Mus musculus: one gene and its partners. The protein of the gene in region 2 purifies or fractionates together with the protein of the main gene of each other region. This does not show direct contact. Links are inferred from orthologs where the notes say so. Each region holds a gene or a part of one and is shown on either strand. Other genes may lie near its edges.

The links.
Region 1: the proteins of Carm1 (region 2) and Rela purify together in Homo sapiens (affinity purification with western blotting; 4 studies listed by BioGRID and IntAct, with this or other methods). This does not show direct contact. The link is inferred for Mus musculus from reciprocal best matches to the Homo sapiens genes CARM1 and RELA.
Region 3: the proteins of Carm1 (region 2) and Smarcc1 purify together in Homo sapiens (affinity purification with western blotting; 3 studies listed by BioGRID and IntAct, with this or other methods). This does not show direct contact. The link is inferred for Mus musculus from reciprocal best matches to the Homo sapiens genes CARM1 and SMARCC1.

What each region holds. Positions count from the first base shown.
Region 1 is NC_000085.6:5,643,927-5,647,571, reverse strand, and holds part of Rela (transcription factor p65), read right to left. Parts: intron 2,248-3,645; coding exon 2,167-2,247; intron 2,060-2,166; coding exon 1,985-2,059; intron 773-1,984; coding exon 156-772; 3' UTR 1-155. UniProt on the Homo sapiens protein: NF-kappa-B is a pleiotropic transcription factor present in almost all cell types and is the endpoint of a series of signal transduction events that are initiated by a vast array of stimuli related to many biological processes such as inflammation, immunity, differentiation, cell growth, tumorigenesis and apoptosis.
Region 2 is NC_000075.6:21,574,294-21,577,938, reverse strand, and holds part of Carm1 (histone-arginine methyltransferase CARM1), read right to left. Parts: intron 3,453-3,645; coding exon 3,346-3,452; intron 3,046-3,345; exon of another isoform or gene 2,526-3,045; coding exon 2,421-2,525; intron 1-2,420. UniProt on the Homo sapiens protein: Methylates (mono- and asymmetric dimethylation) the guanidino nitrogens of arginyl residues in several proteins involved in DNA packaging, transcription regulation, pre-mRNA splicing, and mRNA stability.
Region 3 is NC_000075.6:110,130,556-110,134,857, reverse strand, and holds the start of Smarcc1 (SWI/SNF complex subunit SMARCC1), read right to left. Parts: upstream 2,835-4,302; 5' UTR 2,742-2,834; coding exon 2,550-2,741; intron 1-2,549. UniProt on the Homo sapiens protein: Involved in transcriptional activation and repression of select genes by chromatin remodeling (alteration of DNA-nucleosome topology).

The DNA of each region.
Region 1 (3,645 bases), on a different chromosome or scaffold from region 2:
CCGAAAGCGAGATAAAGAGTAAAACGTGCCGCCCCAGAGAGATCACCCAAACAAGTCGGGGGCAGCTGGAGCACACTCCCCAGAATGTGTACGCACTTCGGGAAGGCTTCAGTGCCCTGAAACCTGGTGCTCTGAGCAGGGTCGCTGTCAGCACCTTAGGAGCTGATCTGACTCAAAAGAGCAGAGAAGTCCATGTCCGCAATGGAGGAGAAGTCTTCATCTCCTGAGAGACCATTGGGAAGCCCCGAGGTCCCCAGGGGTGTGGGAGCTGGGTCAGGGGGCCTCTGGGACCCTGTCACCAGGCGAGTTATAGCTTCAGGGTACTCCATCAGCATGGGCTCAGCTGTGGAGTGAGACATGGACACACCCTGGTTCAGGAGCTGCTGAAACTCTGAGTTGTCCACAGATGCCAGGTCTGTGAACACTCCTGGGTCTGTGCTGTTGCCAAGCAAGGCCCCCAAGTCTTCATCAGCATCAAACTGCAGGTGCAGCAGGGCTTCCGACAGCGTGCCTTCCCCAGCCTGGGTGCTCTTTGGAACAGGTGCAGACAGGGACTGGGGAGGACCCGGGGTTAGAACTGGGGCAGGAGCTGGGGGCTGAGCCAGAGGTACCATGGCTGAGGAAGGGACCATGGTCTGGGCAAGGACTGGGGCAGAGGACGGTGCCAAGGCCAGGGCCTGGTTTGAGATCTGCCCTGATGGTAACAGCATGGGGGAAAACTCATCAAAGTTGATGGTGCTGAGGGATGCTGGGAAGGTGTAGGGCTGCGGGGCTGGAGAGAGAGACAAAGAACAAAGGCTCAGAGGCAGTGAGAGACATACACGGCCCCTCTGCCACCACCTGACCCAGCTCTACCATGCTTAGAATCAGTACCTTTCTGGGAACCAAAATCTGACCAGGCCTGTAGGGTCCACTTCCAAGGGCCACAGTGAGGTGTTCCCTAGCTACTGCGGTCATAAAGCTCTCACCATGTTACAGCTGCAAAGCCAGCGAAGAGGATGAACCATGGAGCACGGGCTCAGTGGTGGGAGTCTGTCACTCTTGTGAGCCACGCACCAGAACCCACAACCTATTAATTTTTTTTTTTTCAGTTTTTCAAGACACGGTTTCTCTGTGTAGCCCTGGCTGTCCTGGAACTCACTCTGTAGACCAGGCTGGCCTCGAACTCAGAAATCCGCCTGCCTCTGCCTCCCAAGTGCTAGGATTAAAGGCATGCGCCACTACCACCCAGCCCAGCTTAATTTTTTAAATAAATGTTTTTATTTGTGAGCATTTTGCCTGCTTCTATGTATGTGCACTGCATGCGTGCAGCGCCCTTGGCGAGCAGCTATAGCTAGAGACAGCTGCTGAGAAGAGAACCCAGTGCCTTTAACCGAGCCATCTCTCTAGCCCCACAACTGATTACTTTAGAGGTGATTTCTTCTTTCTCAATTCAATGGAGAGCTGAGGGCAGAGACATTTCCAATGTCTGTATCTCAAGGTATCCAACTCAGGGATTATTTAGTCCCTTGGTACCAAATATTGAATCTAGGGTCTCTGGTGCTAGGCATGCGCTCTACATGAGCTGTACCGTATCCCTGCTTTTACTTTTAAAGCTGAGACAGGGTTCTTCAAACTGACCTTAAACTTAATAACCTTGTAGTCCAAGATGGCCTTGAACTTGTGACCCTCCTGCCACACTCTCTTGAGCAGCAGGGAATAAAGGGCTCAGGGTTTGACAGGAGCATGGCTTCTGACTTCTACTGACTTTAGGAAATGGCCAGTTCCTGTGCCACACTTTCAAAGCCTTGAGTTTATCAGTCTGTGACAAGAGCCCTGGATGGTCCTGGCAGAGACCCCGGCCTCCCCCTGAGAAGTCCAGGCCCCATGGAGAGCAGATTTCAGAACTCTGCAGGTGAGACCAATTTGGTCCCCTTCTAGAAGATACTACTTCAGTCTGAACAAATGAGACCCTCATTCTAGAAAAAGAAAAGGACTTCCTTACCTGGCTTGGGGACAGAAGTTGAGTTTCGGGTAGGCACAGCAATACGCCGGGTTGGAGGCCGGGGTTCAGTTGGTCCTACAGGGCAAAAGCTAAGTCAGCTTTCAGACCCCGGGTGTCCTCTCACTGACTCTAGGACTTGGCTGGCCTGCCCACTCCTCTCCCTCAGGCTTTCCTCATCTCACCATTGAAAGGACTCTTCTTCATGATACTCTTGAAGGTCTCATAGGTCCTTTTGCGCTTCTCTTCAATCCGGTGGCGATCATCTGGGAAAGCAATATGGATGGTGGGTTTACTCTCCTTAGCCGGGCTGCACTTCTCCCTTCTATGGGCTCTCCAGGAGGGTAGTGGAGTCATAGTTTCCTAAGACCTAGTCTCCCAACCAGTTAAGAAGGGATGTGTGACCTTCAGAGAAGGGTCTGTTGGTTGAATCCTCTTCCCCCCTGGTTTTTTGAGACTGTCTCACTATATACAGTCCTGGCTGTCCTGGAACTACACACACCAGACCAGGCTGACTTCAAACTCACTGAAATTCACTGCCCTTCCTCCAAAGTGCTGTAACTAAAGGTGTGGGCCACACAGCCAGCCTTGTTGGTTGTCTTGACCCCTGCTCTGGGGGACAAGAGCCTAGCACGCCATCTGAGCTGCTCACAGAAGCATCCACGTAGGTGGAGAGGGAAGTGCTGTGGGCAGAGCATCACAGGCCGAAGGCTCCAGACTCAGCTCAGTGTATGGCTTCTTCCTTTAGTTTGAAGCTTCAGAATTATTTGACCACCTCAGCTGCACACCGTCTAGGTGAAGCAGTATTTCACACCAGGGCACTGCTTCTTTCCCCTGTGTCTCCCTGTCTGTCCTGGCACCCAAACTGCAACCTGGAACAATTCTGAACATCATTTTTTCTTTCAATCCTCCAATACTAACTCAACACCACTTGCCAAGCACCTACTAGCAACTGGAGATGAGTAAGCACACAGAGATTTAGTCATCAAAAGGGGACCTTAAAAAGTACCAGGATCCAGAGAAACCTTGTCTCAAAAACAAAACAAAAAACAACAAAAGTGCCAGGATTCCTTTTGGCTGTTGAAGTCTCAATTCCCCCACCCCACCCCCACAGGAAAAAAAAAACACCCTAATTTATTACATTTATGTGCGTGTGTGGCCAAACAGTGGTGGTATATGCCTTTTAGGAGGCAGAGGCAGGTGCATCTCTGAGTTCAAGACCAGCCTGGCATACAAAGTGAGGTCTACGACAGCCAGGGCTGCACAGACAAATCCTGTCTCGAAAAACAAAACAAACAAACAACAAAAAACCCCAAAGCCCCCAAAACATTCATGTGTGCATGTGTGTTGCAACAAGAGGTCAGAGACAATGTGTGAGAGTCACACATTGAACTGTCACACTCTGAACTGTCTCCTTTGATCACGTGGGTTAAACAGAGGTCCTCAGCTTGACAACTCTGTCTTTTTTGAGACAAGATCTCATGTAGCCTTGGAGAGCATCAAACTTCCTATGTAGCTGAGACTAGCCCTCAACTTCCGATCCTCCTGTCTTCACCTCCCCAGTGCTGGGTTACAAGTGTCAGCACCACACCTGGTTTGAGGGTTACTAGGGACTGAATTCAAGGCCTCGTACATGCTAGGCAAGCCCTCGTTAAGCTACGCCC
Region 2 (3,645 bases):
CCAGTAGCAGCTGAGTGAATTTGGCTAGGAGGCCTGTGAGAATGCTCCATGGAGATAAAACCTCTAGGGTCTAGAGACCCTGGGGTAAAACCTAACTAAAGCCTGGATGAGCCGCCCCCCACCCCAGCCCTCCATCCTGCTGCCACTATCCCTAAGCATGCTGATTAGAGCTAGGTATAGAGGTGTACATCCATGCTCTCATTGCTGAGGACTGTAAGCTAAAGGATAGCCTGAGATTATAGAGGGACATAGTCTCAAAAGGAACAGAACAAAAACACAAGCTCCTGGGCTGGAGAGGAGTTAAGAGCACTGACTGCTCTTCTAAATTCTAAAGGTCCTGAGTTCCATTCCCAGCAACCACATGGAGGCTCACAGCTATCTATCTGTAATGTGGTCCGAAGCCCTCTTCTGGTGTGTCTAAAGATAGCTACATTGTACTCATATACATAAAATAAAGAAATAAATCTTAAAAAATCAAAAAATAAAAAAAACCCAAAAGGGTAAAAAAGCCACAGGATGAGAAGGGAACTATTTGCTATGTGGAACACAGAGGCTCTAGATGGGACATGGTGCTGCATATATTCAAGCACTTGGCAAGTGGAAATAGTGAGTTCAAGGCAAGCCTGGGCTAACTCAGACAACCCTGTCTTAGTTTACCCTCTACACCATAAAAAAAGAGAGAAGAAAAAAAAGGGCCCTAAAGATGTCCCTTAATTTACAATGGGATCAGATCCTCATGAGGCAAAACTGCATTCAATCTGCCTGACCTAACATCTCAGCCAGCGGGACACAAGTTCAAAACAGCTATACACCCACAGCTGGGCCAAATCATTCAACAGGAAGCCTGAGTACATCACACAATTTATAAAGACCAAAAAGACTACACATTCCCTGGGAATAGCAGCAGCTCCCCACACCTATCTATGTGAGTCTCACATAGTCCAGGATGGCCTTGTCCTCACTTCCTCCTACTTCAGCCCCTCAAGTGCTGGGACTGCAGGTAAGCACCACCAACCTGGGCTGAATGGCAGTTAAGTATGGAGAGTAGGTAGTATTGGGCAGTAAGGTGCAACAGGCCACAGGAGGCCAAGGTAGGAAGACTAAGTATAAATGCACTGGACAACACAATAGGGCACTGTATTACAACACCCACACATACATCACCCTCCTCCCCTTTTCCCCCTCACACACAAAAAAGGCACTCAGAAGAGTCCTACCCTACCTAAAGGGTACTAAAAAGGTCAAGAACATGCTGGATTTTTCTCATCAAGCCAATTAAACACACCATCAGCAATGATGGCAGGAAAGGCCTGGGGTGTGAGTTCAGACAGATGAGGCAGAGCAGGAGTTATAAGCTCCAGGAAGCAGTGAGGCCACTCCCCTCTCAGACTGTTCCCAGTGTCTTTGACCCATCTTTGAAATCTTCTGTGAGCAGCTGGCAAGCATGCTTCCCTGAACAATGTGAGCTGCTTGGACAAATAGCTGTTGGGGGCACCCCAACTCAGCCATCTGTCAGAAGACTTGGGAAAGGCAGCTGCAGCTGGCTGGCCCATGACACTTAAAAGTTGAGGGTGGAGCTTTATGGGTTGAAGACCCCATCCCATGCGCTCTCCACTCTTGCTCTAGGTAGATGCAAGGAGAACTGAGATAGTTGAGAGCAGGCTGGGTCCACTCCTCCCACAGAGCTCACTGCTCCCCAAAGCTGCCATGTGACTATGAGATTGGTGTGGCTTCATTATTTCCAGCTTTCCCCCTCCTTTTTCCTGAGAAAGGGATTCACTGTGCAGCTCTGATTTCCAATTTAAAGATATGCCTGCTGCTTCCTGAATCAAAGTTGCATGCTGCTCTACCCAATTTTAGAGCATCAACCTCTTTATCTAAAGCTGCCTTATTTTTCTACAATGCTACAATGGACGCCAGAGTCCTCATCATGCTAGGTAAGCTCTCCCAATTTATAGTCGGTGACCTTCTTGGCAACTTCTCCTGAGTGCTGAGACTAGAGTTAGGTTCCATGTAAAACCTATCTTTGTCTAGTATGCTGCAGTATACCTGAGGCAGAAAACAGTATGACCAAAGTCATGTTAGAAGGAGCAAAAGTATTCTCTGTAGGAAGGGGAAGAAACAACATAATGGTAACTAAAAGAAAATGGAATGGGGGAGGTGCTCAGGTCTCAGGATTCAGAGGCAGAGGCAGGCAGATCTCTGTGAGTTTGAGGCCAGCCTGATCTACAGGACAGCCAAAACTACACAGAAAAACCCCATCATGACACCCCCCCAACGCCCCCCAAAAAAGAAAGCCGAGGCTGGCTCAGAACAACAAATACAAAGGAGGTAACAGAAGTGGGAGGGAGAAGGCCCTGCCCCCACCCCTCAGCACACTGCAGACTCTGCTCAGTGTGCTTCCTGTTCTGAGGGCTCACCTTGTCCTTGAAGTCCGTGTGGTTCTGCAGGATCGCACGCTGGTAGGTGCCTGTCCGCACATAGTCCTGCATCATGTTCTGCTGCTGGGATAGGTAGCCATAGAACTGGAACAGACACACACCAATAGCACGCGACACGTGGCATGACGGACTGCCACAGCCCTGGCTGCCCTAAGATGGAGGGAGGGCCTGACAGCGTAAACCTCCCTTGGGAGGTCATGTACCCTCTGCCAGCCTGTACCCAACTGACAAGAGCCAGCTGCTCCAGAAGTGGGAGCAGGGCTGAAGGACAAAGCTAGATGTCACCTGAACTTGGAGGCCACCCAAGAAATCACAGACGTTGTCATGGGTGGGATTCTAACATCTGGGGGCCAAATGTCTCATCTTAGGGCCCCAAAGAAGAAGAGGAATGGATGGAACAAAACCCTAGAGCTCAGAGCGCCAGGCAGGTGATGTGCGGTGTCTCTCTGTAAGACAACAGGCGATCAGGAGGCAGCGTGGCACCTGGCAGGGCCACAGGCTTGGGCATCAGGCAGACCTGGCTTTCCCATCGTGGCTCTGTTGCATAAGAGCTGTGTGACTTGGAGCAAAGTCACTTAACCTCTCTGAGCCTCAGATTTCTCATCTGTAAAATGGGGACAATAACAGTTGTTGGGAAAGTCCAAGTGCTGCTGAGCATGTAAGATTGCTTATACAGAGCCTTACACTCACTAAGGGTTTAGGACATGGCTACAGTTCAGTCATTACTCTAAACACCTGAGGCCCTGGGCTTCACAGATGAGGAAACTGAGGCTACGCAGCTAGTAAGGGACAGAGCCAGGATGAGCACCTGTGTGGGCCTACCCTGTGCTGCGTGACCTCCTGTGGGAAGGGAGGGGAGGGAGACACCAGGTGCTTGTCTGTCCCAGGGCAGGTGCCAGCTCACCTGGAAGTACTGCACAGCTGAGGATTCCTCTGTCCGCTCACTGAACACAGAGCGCTCCAGTGTGTGGCCCCGACAGGTTTTCAGGATGTTGTAGAAAGAACAGAAATCTGGAAAGGGGGAGCCAGATCACCAGGAGGCCAGTGCTGTACACCTCTGAGAGAATCCACAGGGCCTGGGCATTTCTTCTTCCTGTCTGCCTTTCCTGACTTGTCTACCTCCAACTTCTTAATCCCCCAGTACAATGTTCCAATGGAGAAGGAAAGAAAATGAGCTGCCAGGACCTCTGATATGAGGGCATGA
Region 3 (4,302 bases), about 89 Mb from region 2:
ATGGCAGCTCAAAACCATGGTCCAGATGATCCAAAGCTCTCTTCTAGATTAGACATACACCAGACAAACTCTGGTACAGAGACATGCACGCAGGCAAAACAACCACACAGAGAAACTAAAACCAAAACTTTTTTTTTTTTTTGAGTCCACCACTGTGGCTCATCCTCATAATCCCAGAACTCTAGACTTGAAAGCAGGATCTGCGGCCCACAAAAGGAGCTCTGGGGCTTCGGAGCAGTGAGTTTTGGTTTTTTGTTTTGTTTTTGGAAGTGAAGTCTTATAGCCCAGGCAGAAAGAAAAGAGACCTTTCATGTCTCACTTGTTTCATATTAATTGCTGATATTTAAATTTCTGTTCTAGTGCTGAAGATGGCTCAGAGGATAAAAGACTGCTTACTGTTCTTCCCAAAGACCAGAGTTCAGGTCCCAGCACCCGGATAATACAGTTTACATCCGGGTCCAAGGAATGAGACGCCCTCTGCTGGCCTCTGTGGACACTGACATGCATGTTCCGCACACAAAGAAACCTTTACATTTGTATGTCCTAAATACACTGTAAAATGCAATAGAAATAATTAATGAACCAGTGTGTGGCCCATGCCTACAATCCTAGGCGAAGACAGGAGGCAGCTCTTTCTAAGTCTGAGGCTAGTCTGGACTAAATAGTGAGATGGTGTCAGAAACGGGAGAGCAGGGAGAGGAGGAAGAGGACAAAGTGTAAGGTACACCAAGCAGAAATAAGTCAACTGTATTTCTGACTTCAAAGCTTTAGAGACATGACCACTTCTGAAAACACCAGTGTATTACCAAAGCAACCCAAGCTCCCTGTCAAACACAAATAGGCTTCACTAAGCTGCAGACACTGAATGAAATGGTTCAGACTAGTCTGTCCCTTTTTAGTTTTTTAAGACAGAGTCTGATATTGGTACTTGAGGCTTGTCTTAACCTTCCATCCATACAAAGGATGGCCTTGAACTTCACACCTCTCAAAAGACTGCAGCAGAGAGCCACCAATGCCTGGTTTTGGTGGCTCTCTGCTGGGTGCTGGGGTTCAAACTCTAGACCTAACCCATGCTAAACAAACACTCTACAAACTGATTTAAATCCCCAGGTCCTAGTTTAACTTTTCATTCATTCAACAAACACTAAACAACTATTATGCAAGGTGAGACAGTTAAATGTCAACTATGAGCCAGGACATGGAGATGCATTTTCAGGCTTGTAAATCTCAACACCCACTCTGGGTCCGCAATGGGGTAACCACTACTACTTAATTTAAGAGTAGAGGAAGTGTTTTGGATGTTTCATCATATCAACTAAGGGATTCATTTTTCAACATTTATATAAAGGTGAAATTTTACTAGAGGTATTATTGGGGCCAGTGAGGTGGAAACACATGGGTAAAAGCACTTGTCACAAGCATCAAGATCTAAATTCAAGCCGGGTGGCCCATGCCTTTGATCCCAGCACTTGGGAGGCAGAGGCAGGCTGATTTCTGAGTTCGAGGCCAGCCTGGTCTACAAAGTGAGTTCCAGGACAGCCAGGGCTATACAGAGAAACCCTGTCTCTGAAAAAAAAAAAAGTATCTAAGTTCAATTCCTGGACCAGTATGGTGTTCGAGGAGAATTGATTTGCTTAAGTGGACATGAAAACAGGAGTTGTGTGTACCCCTCCAAAGTAAATAGTTGTAATTCTTTTTAAAGTGTCAACAAAGGGTTAATTCACGACTTTTGTAAAACAACTGACTCAGCAGAATTTGCATTCTAAAGTACGGGAAACACACTTTTCCCAAAAAAATTAACATTGCAAAAAATATATATATGATAAAAACTAAGCTCTCGCCAGGTGTGGTGGCGCATGCCTTTAATCCCAGCACTTGGGAGGCAGAGGCAGGAGGATTTCTGAGTTCGAGGCCAGCCTGGTCTACAAAGTGAGTTCCAGGACAGCCAGGGCTACGAAAAACAAAACAAACAAACAAAAAAACCTAACTCTCGCTTGTACTCACATCCTTACACACCACCTAAAGTACAATGAAGTGGAAAACCAACACTTTTAATAGTTCTATATCAATTGTACAATACAAGGTTTAAACCTACATGAATCCACAAGGCCAGTCATCCAAGGTCCCCTACTAATCCACATAGGGTAGCAAGCCCTTAGTTACCTAGACGCTCAACAACTGGTCTCTAAACAAAACTTCAAGATACTTTTATTAGGATGGGCTCTTTGTTCACACACCTAAGGCAGCTAACAAAAGAACAGAAACACACGCTCTGCGACTCTGTCCAGTTCCACCTCTCCTGCACATAAGAGAGAGTGAGATGGGGCTTCCCACGCGAGTACGTGGGCCCCAGAGAGCCAGCAGCTGGGGCCAGGTCGCCGCGTGCCTAGTCGCCCGCGGGGGCGTGGCAAGCGCCGAGCCGGCCTTTGTTGTCCCTCGTGGCGCGCGGAGGGGGGGGGGGAGGGGCGGCCCCAGACATGCGAAGCGGGCAGCCACCATCAGCCCCCGTCGCGTGGCTCCTCGGTCCCCACGGGCGCGCGCGAACCCACCTTCTTGTAGTGCTTGCCCAGCCAGACTCGCACCGAATCTAGCTGGGACACCGTGTCCGGGCTCTCCCAAAACTTGCTGGCCGGGCCCCCGTCCTTCCTCCGGTACACGGCCAGCCCGGAGGCCGCCGCCGCACCCCCTGCACCCACGGCGCCTGCTGCTGCTCCCGGACCGCCACCCGCTGTCGCGGCCATAGTCACCGTCCGTCGTGTCTACCGCCCGGCCTAGCCTGGCCCTCGCGGCGTTTCCCGTTCGCACCCGCGCGCGCGCGCGCAGATGCCACCTCCTCCTCCTCCTCCTAGCCCCGCCCAGCCAACCCTCTTCCGGCGCCGAGGCGCGGCCACGCCCCTTCTGGACCCTAAAGCTGCAACGAACAGGCACTGAGAGCGGGCGTACGCATGCGCAGCACGCCGGTAGTCCCCTACGGACTGAGGCTGCCCGCCTTTTCCTCTGGTCTCTCGGAACTGAGCCTCAGCCTCTGCTGTTGGTAGACACTACGAATGACTCTTCCGGGCCCCGTTTGTCTATTCGTTAGGCGGTCAACAATCTCAAGGAGGTTCTGTATCTCTACTAGAAAAAGCGGTCTAGGGTGTGCAGTGCGAGCCGAGCCCCACCCCACCCCACCCCCCCGCGTACCCGCCCCCGAGCGCTAGTAAGCAATTCCTGCTAGTCCCGGAGGCCGCGTCGGTTTGGGGACCTGCATTAAAGACCTAGTCTTTCTTGGGGCTTCATTAATGTTTCTCGAACCACATCAGATGGTTTCTGCTTAGTCGGCCTAGCTCCAGCTACTTCTGCGACCTGGACATTATCTTCCTTTGTGATTCGCACTCTCTCAAATTCATCACTTTAAAAGTATTCCAGAAAACCAGTCCCTGAGTGAACAAGTGATCACAATTACCCAACGGTTTTTTTTGTAGCTCTCTCTTCAACCTGGTGTTTTTATCATCCGCGTTGGGAACTGGACGCTTTATCTACATTTGAAGGCTATATGAAGGCTGAAAGTTTACATTGTAAACAATGTATTGGCTGTATTGGAAACGTGAACATGATATGTTCACGAAGCTCCAAGTGAGGAGGTGTGATGAGTTTATAGACCTTAAAAAAAAATGGAGATAGCCTAGAAGATGTAGTGTGCACGCCTTTAATCCCATAAGGTAGAAGCAGGAGGTTTTCTGAGTTCCAGGCCTGCCTGATGTACATAGAGCTTGAAAGCCAGGACAACCAGGGCTACAGGAAACCCTCCCTGCCTGAACAAACAAAAGAGACTAGTTGTCTCAGGTTATGTATTTGGCTCAGTTCTTAAAAAGCTTGGCAACCTGAGTTGGAACCCCAGAATTCTCATAAAAGTAGAAGGTGAAATTCTTCACGAAGTTACACCCTGACTGTGTACTGTGGCACACATACATCACCCATACCTAATTCTGGGTGGTAGTAATCCTAGCACTCAGGAGGTCGCTGACTTTTAGGCCAGCTTGTTACCATAGTGAGTTCCAAGACTACATACAGAGACCCTGTCTCAACAACAAAATGGAGCAGGGCAGTGAAATGGCTCAGCGGGTAATGCCAATAGTGACGACCTAAATTCAATTCTGGAACTGGAACAATGGAAGGAGAGAACCAACCAACTAACTTGTCCTCTGACTTCTACAGGCAGCCTGGAATGACATGCTTGTCATGGCACATTCACACCCACAGACATAAGCAACATAAAGTAAATGCATAAATGTAATTTAAAAGTTCTTTTAAAGCCGGGCG